Linked DNA regions of Oryctolagus cuniculus. The protein of the gene in region 2 purifies or fractionates together with the protein of the main gene of each other region. This does not show direct contact. Links are inferred from orthologs where the notes say so. Each region holds a gene or a part of one and is shown on either strand. Other genes may lie near its edges.

The links. The genes of interacting proteins can lie anywhere in the genome.
Region 1: the proteins of AFG2B (region 2) and TIMM13 purify together in Homo sapiens (co-immunoprecipitation; 3 studies listed by BioGRID and IntAct, with this or other methods). This does not show direct contact. The link is inferred for Oryctolagus cuniculus from reciprocal best matches to the Homo sapiens genes AFG2B and TIMM13.

What each region holds. Positions count from the first base shown.
Region 1 is NW_027208270.1:74,080-77,325, reverse strand, and holds TIMM13 (mitochondrial import inner membrane translocase subunit Tim13), read right to left. Parts: upstream 1,732-3,246; 5' UTR 1,590-1,731; coding exon 1,470-1,589; intron 1,383-1,469; coding exon 1,314-1,382; intron 826-1,313; coding exon 727-825; 3' UTR 611-726; downstream 1-610. Other genes in the region: LMNB2 (lamin-B2), read right to left, coding at 2,538-2,579, 2,826-2,942. UniProt on the Homo sapiens protein: Mitochondrial intermembrane chaperone that participates in the import and insertion of some multi-pass transmembrane proteins into the mitochondrial inner membrane.
Region 2 is NC_091443.1:68,054,993-68,058,392, forward strand, and holds the end of AFG2B (ATPase family gene 2 protein homolog B), read left to right. Parts: intron 1-57; coding exon 58-183; intron 184-2,228; coding exon 2,229-2,396; 3' UTR 2,397-2,649; downstream 2,650-3,400. UniProt on the Homo sapiens protein: ATP-dependent chaperone part of the 55LCC heterohexameric ATPase complex which is chromatin-associated and promotes replisome proteostasis to maintain replication fork progression and genome stability.

The DNA of each region.
Region 1 (3,246 bases), on a different chromosome or scaffold from region 2:
GGCGCGGGGCGGCGCGCCGGTGGGGCCCGGGCGGCGCGGCGCGGCCTGGCGCGGGGCCGGCCCACCGCAGGCGTCTCCCCGCAGGCGCCATGGCGCGGCACCTGCAGCAGGCGGCCGTGCGCGTGCTCAGCGAGCAGACCTGCCGCCGCTTCTACCCGGTGCAGATCAGCAGCCGTATGCTGTGCGCCGGCTTCCCGCAGGGCGGCGTCGACAGCTGCTCGGTGAGCGGGCGGCCGGGGGTCCCGGGCCCTCCCCGCGGCCTCCGCTGAGCCCCCTCCTCCTCCTCCTCTCCCTCAGGGCGACGCCGGGGGTCCTCTGGCCTGCAGGGAGCCCTCCGGCCGCTGGGTGCTAACGGGGGTCACCAGCTGGGGGTACGGCTGCGGCCGGCCCCACTTCCCCGGCGTCTACACCCGGGTGGCGGCGGTGAGAGCCTGGATCGCGCAAAACATCCAGGAGTGACCCTGCCTGTGCCAATAAACAGCTCCCGCCCGCAGCCCGACGGCTCAGCGCCTCCTTGTCCCGCGCGGGGCCGGGGGGGGGGCGGGGGGGCAGCCTCGCAGCGGGCACCGCACTCCCCCGCCCGCGCCCAGAGAGAAATGCGGGTCCCCGCGCTGGCTCAGCCGTTTATTCGCCCTCGCGGGGTCACAGCGGAGCGGGGCCCGAGCGCCCCCTCCCCACCAAGGTCCAGACCCGGCCCCGACGCCCGGCCTGCGGCGTCCGGCTCGGTCACAGGTTGGCGCGCTCCCGCTGCAGCCGCGAGGTGTAGGCGCGCGACACGGTGTTCCAGGCGTCCATGTAGCGGTCCATGCACATGGCGATGCACTTCTGCGGCGGGGACACGCGGCTCAGCCGGGGACACGCGCGCGCCCCGGCCCTCCCCGCCGGCGCCGGGACCCCGCGCCCCCGCACAGGCCTCCCCGCCGGCGCCGGGACTCCGCGCCCCCTCCCCGCCGGCGTCCCGCGTCCCTGCACACGGACACCCCGCGCCCCCTCCGCCGCCCCGCGCCCCCGCCGCCCCGCACACACCTCCCCTCCGGCGCCGGGACCCCGCGCCCCCTCCCCGCCGGCGTCCCGCGCCCCCGCCGCCCCGCGCCCCTGCACACGGACACCCCGCGCCCCCGCCGCCCCGCACACACCTCCCCGCCGGCGTCGGGACCCCGCGCCCCCGCACACGGACACCCCGCGCCCCCGCCGCCGCCCCGCGCCCCTGCACACGGACACCCCGCGCCCCCGCCGCCCCGCACACAGCTCCCCTCCGGCGCCGGGACCCCGCGCCCCTGCACACAGCCTCCCCGCGCCCCCGCGGGACTCACCTGCTCCGAGTTGTCCAAGGAGCCCCCCGGCTTCCCGATGCACTTCCGGAAGCACTTGTCCGTCATTCTCTGCGGAGACACGCGCAGGCCTCAGCCGCGCCGCCCGAGCCCGGGCGCCTCCGCCTCCGCCTCCGCCGCGCCGCCCCCGGCCCGCACCTGCAGCAGCTCCTGCGCGTTGGCCACGGCGATCTGCACCTTCACCTGCTCCATGATGAGGCCCGGGTCCAGCTTCCCGCCGCCCGAGCCCCCGAAGTCCGAGCCGAAGCTGCCCTCCATGGCTCCGCAGTCAGCCGGACTGTGGCCGCGCGCACCGACCCGTCTCCGCGCCGGAAGTCGCGCCGCGCGGGGCACCACGGGAAGCGGAGCCGGCCGGCGGACTACAACTCCCACAATGCCCGCGCATGCGCGAGGCGCCACGCTTCCGCCGAATCCCGTCGCGCCTGCGCACTCCCGCGCGCGCCTGGGGCGGAGCCAGGTCACGTGACGCGGCAAAGCCCGGCCCAGGCGACAGCGGCCTGGACGCCCAGGGCGAGGGGAGGTGGCCAGGGCCGGCGACAGAAGGAGCGAGCGGCCGCGGTTAGAATCAAAACGTTTATTGGAGTGTTGTTGTACAAAAGGTTCCAGTCGTAAAATGCGTTACAAACCACGGGAGGGGCCGCATGCATCCGGGCGCGTGACCGGGACCCCCCCCAGGGCCGCGACCCCCCGAGCCCACGCGCACAGGGCCACGGGGTTCCCGCCCCGCCGCGGGAAGGCGTGGGGTGAAGACAACTTCCCTGCGCGCGAGGCGTGCGTGCCCCGGGGGCGCGTGGGGCAGCGCGGGGGCGGGGCCCGGGCGGGGGTCTGGGCGGTCGGCCCGAGGGGTGGGGCTGACCCATGTAAAAAAATAAATATCCATTAAAAAAATAGCGTCTGTGCGTGGGAGGCTCCTGCGGCCGGGCCGCGGCTGACGGACAGGAGCCACGCACCGACGGGGCCGTGCGGGAGCTCCCGGCCGCGACCCCCGCAGCGCCAGCGTCCCTGGGCGCCCGCCGCGCTCGCGGGCAGGGGTGCGGGCGGGGGTCCCGGCCGAGGCGGGGCCCTGCTGGCGCCTCCCGGGACCGCCCCGCCCCGCCCCGCCCCGCCCGCGCCCGCAGTTGTAAGAATTCTCGGGAAATGGTATCGGTGTGGGGAAAGCCAATGATAGAAAACTACAGTCCTCGGGGGCCGCGGGCGGGGCGGCGCTCACATCACGCGGCAGCCTCTCGACGTGGTGCGGGGGTCTCCCTGCGGGGAGGGCGCGCGTCAGGCCCCAGGCCCGGCCTTCGGGGCGCTCCCTCCGGGGAAGGCCCCGCCCGCAGCCCCGCCCGCAGCCCGGGACCACGCGGGGACGCCCCCACCCCGCCCCCACCCTGCCCGCAGCCCAGGACCACGCGGGACGCCCCCCACCCCGCCTACAGCCCCGGACCACGCGGGACACCCCCGCCCCGCCCCGCCCGCAGCCAGGACCACGCGGGACGCCCCGCCCGCTACCTGCTGGTGGAACAGGTCCTCCTCGCCCAGCTCAGCCTGCTCGTCCCCGTCCTCGTCTCCGTCACCGCTCTCCCGCACGGCGGCGGCGGACTGCTTCACCGTGCGCATGGCCACCTCCTGCAGGCGGGGGCAGCGCTCAGCCCGCGCCCCCCGCCCCGCCGCCGGCACCTCTCCGTCCGCGTTCAGCAGCCCCGTGCGCACGCTCAGCCCGCGCCCCCCGCCCCGCGCCGCCCCCAGCCCCAGCTGCCCCGCCGCTCGCCCGCACGCACGCACCTCTCCGTCCGCGTTCAGCAGCCCCGTGCGCACGCTCAGCCCACGCCCCCCGCGCCCCCCGCCCCCCGCCCCCCGCCGCCGGCCCGCACGCACCTCTCCGTCCGCGTTCAGCAGCCCCGTGCGCACGCTCAGCCCGCGCCCCCCGCGC
Region 2 (3,400 bases):
GGTGTCAAACATAAATGCTATAAAGTTATAAACATATTGTGTTTGATTTTCTTGCAGGGCAGGCTTTCTATTTTAGAAATCTGTACAAAAAGTATGCCAATAGGGTCTGATGTTTCCTTAGAAAACCTAGCAGCAGAAACCTGTTTTTTCTCTGGAGCTGACCTGAGAAACCTCTGCAGAGAAGTAAGTTAATTGGTGAAGAAATCTGTAGTTGAAAACATTCCTTCTTCTATTCCTGCATTCATCCACTTGGCAGTGTTTTCTGAGACTTCTAAGTGGTGGGTGCACGCCATGTGAGGCACAGATGCAGCCCCTTCCCTTACAGGGCTCACAGGCTGGAGGTGGGGCCGTGCAGAGGCAGATCATCATACTGGACTGGCAGTAGTGACCGTGTAGTGCATTGGGGAAGTTTAGGGTGCTGCTGTACCTAGAGGAATACCAGCCCAGACTTGGGGACCAGGGAAGGCTTTCTGAGTGAGGAAATTAGCAGCATGATTAGGGAGTTCAACAGCTAAGGGAGGGAATACAGTGTGCAGAGGGTTGGCAGTAGGAGAGGATGTGACACTCTTGAATCTTAGAATGGAGAATGGCAAAAAATGGAGCTGATGAAGTAGACAATGGCCAGATCTCACAGGTCCTTGTAAGTACTTGAAAGCAATTAGGTTTTATTTTTGAGGGCAAAAGAAACCATTATAGGCTTTTCTTCTCCCATAAACTTAGGCTAAATATAACTTTTTGTAAAAGATTTATTTATTTATTTGAAAGGCAGAGTTACAAAGAGAAAGAGAGAGAGTGGTCTTCCAACCGATGGTTCACTCCCCAAATGGCTGCAACAGCCAGAGCTGGGCTGATCTGAAGCTAGGAGCTTCTTCCAGATCTCCCATGCTGGTGCAGGGGCCCAAAGACTTGGACCATCCTCTGCTGCTTTCCCAGGTGCATTAGCAGGGAGCTAGATCAGAAGTGGGACTTGAACCAGTGCCCATATATGATGCTGGCATGGCAGGCGTCAGCTTTACCCGCTACGCCACAACACCGGCCCCTAAATATAACATTTTATAAAGCACAGATCAAAAGGATATAGTTATTGACATAAAGCGAACACACTTTTATTCTAACCACCAACTGAACACTGTCAGTTCCCTGAACGTTCCTTTGTTCTCCGTTCATCTGTCACCTGCCTGCTCGCAGAAGTGGTCTGCTGTCCCGGTCTCCAGCACTGGAGATCAGTGTCGCCTGCCTTTGATCTGCACACAGATGACACTAGACGGTGCATGTTATTTCTGTCTGCTCCTTTAACTCAAGACTGTGTTTTTGAAATTCATCCATGATTTTGTATGTAGCCATAGTTTTCTCTACTGCTTTATAATATTCTAGTATATTAATACTCTGCATTTATTTTTTTAAAGACTTATTTATTTATTTGAAAGTCAGAGTTACCCAGAGAGAGGAGAGGCAGAGAGAGAAAAAGAGAGGTCTTCCATCTGTTGGTTCATTCCCCATTGGCTGCAACGGCCGCAGCTGCGCCAATCCAAAGCCAAGAGCCAGGAGCTTCTTCCGGGTCTCCCATGTGGATGCAGGGGCCCAAGAATGTGGGCCATCCTCCACTGCTTTCCCAGGCCATAGCAGAGAGCTGGATCAGAAGTGGAGCTGCCAGGACTCAAACCAGCACCCATATGGGATCCTGGCACTGCAGGCAGCCACTTTAACCACTGTGCCACAGCACGGGTCCCATTACTCTGCATTTTATTTATATTTATTCATTGTTTTCCTTTTGAGCATTTGGATTTCTCCTTTATTACATGTCTCTAGATGCACATGTGTATTTATATCTATTTCATAGCTATGAGAATGGCAAAGTCCTAGAATATGTGTTTGATCTTTTTCCTTAAATTTATGATCAGTGCTGTTTAGAAACTCTTACTACTCCAAGACCAAGAAGATATGGTCTCATTTTCAAAAATATATATGGACTTGTAGTATATTTATTATTCTGCAACTTGGCTCTTTTCCCATTTAAGGCTAAAGTTTAAATGGAGAAGAAATTACAGTCTATGCTACATGTATTTTTAATCATTTTAAATTTGTTAGCTTAATGTTTTTAGTGACATAAATATTGGAATCCTAAAAATGAAACTGAGATTTTGGATTCAAATTTTATAGTATGGCCATGTTACCTTAAAAAAAATATGAAGCCAATTAAATGTTGTCTTATTGCTTGTCCCTCCTAGGCTGCCTTGCTTGCTCTGCAAGAAGATGGACTGGAAGCAACCACGGTGAAACAGGAGCATTTTCTAAAATCACTAAAGACTGTAAAACCATCTTTAAGTCGCGAGGACTTGACTTTATATGAAAACTTATTTAAGAAAGAAAGATTTGCTAATTTAGAAGATACGTAAAAATCACTTTACACCCCTGTTGGGTTGTTTACATGAACTGAAATGGGACTTTGCCTACAGTTTGCAACGTCACACTTTCAGAGTGTGTGTGTATGTGTGTGTGTGTCCTTTAAATAAGGAGAACTTGAACCTGATAAGCTAAGGGTCATCTTATTTCTAAAAGGCATATGTTCAAATAAAAGTTAAAAAAAAATAAAGCTTTTAAAGACACCCTTAAAAAAAGGCATATGTTATTAAAATATGTAATTGAGAAGTGTGTGTATTGATTTTGTCATAAGGATAGCTGGTTTTGGCTGATTCCTTTCTTTTCTTTTTTTCTTTCTTTTTTTTTTTTTTTTTGACAGGCAGAGTAGATAGAGAGACAGAGAGAAAGGTCTTCCTTTGCTGTTGGTTCACCCTCCAATGGCCGCCGCGGCCGGCACGCCGTGGCTGGCGCACCACGCTGATCCTAAGGCAGGAGCCAGGTGCTTCTCCTGGTCTCCCATGGGGTGCAGGGCCCAAGTATTTGGGCCATCCTCCACTGCACACCCTGGCCACAGCAGAGAGCTGGCCTGGAAGAGGGGCAACCAGGACAGAATCCGGCACCCCGACCGGGACTAGAACCTGGTGTGCCGGCGCCGCAAGGCGGAGGATTAGCCTAGTGAGCCGCGGCTCCGGCTCCTTTCTTTAGCTTTGAAATAATTTCATTCTTTCAGAAAAATTACAAGAACAGTACCAAGAACTCTTATATAGTCTAACCCAGATTCATTGGTCTTTAACGTTTTTGCTATATTTGTGGGCTTTCTCTCCTTTTTGTATCTAGGCACACATATACACACTTTTCTAAATGATGTGAAACAGATTATATACTTTATGCCCCTTTTTTCCCTTACTACTTAAGTATGTATTTTTTTTTTAATTTATTTATTTGAAAGTTAGAGAGTAAGAGAGAGAGAGGTCTTCCATCCACTGGTTCACTCCCCAGATGGCCACAATGTCAAGAGCTGGGCTGATCTGAAGCCAAG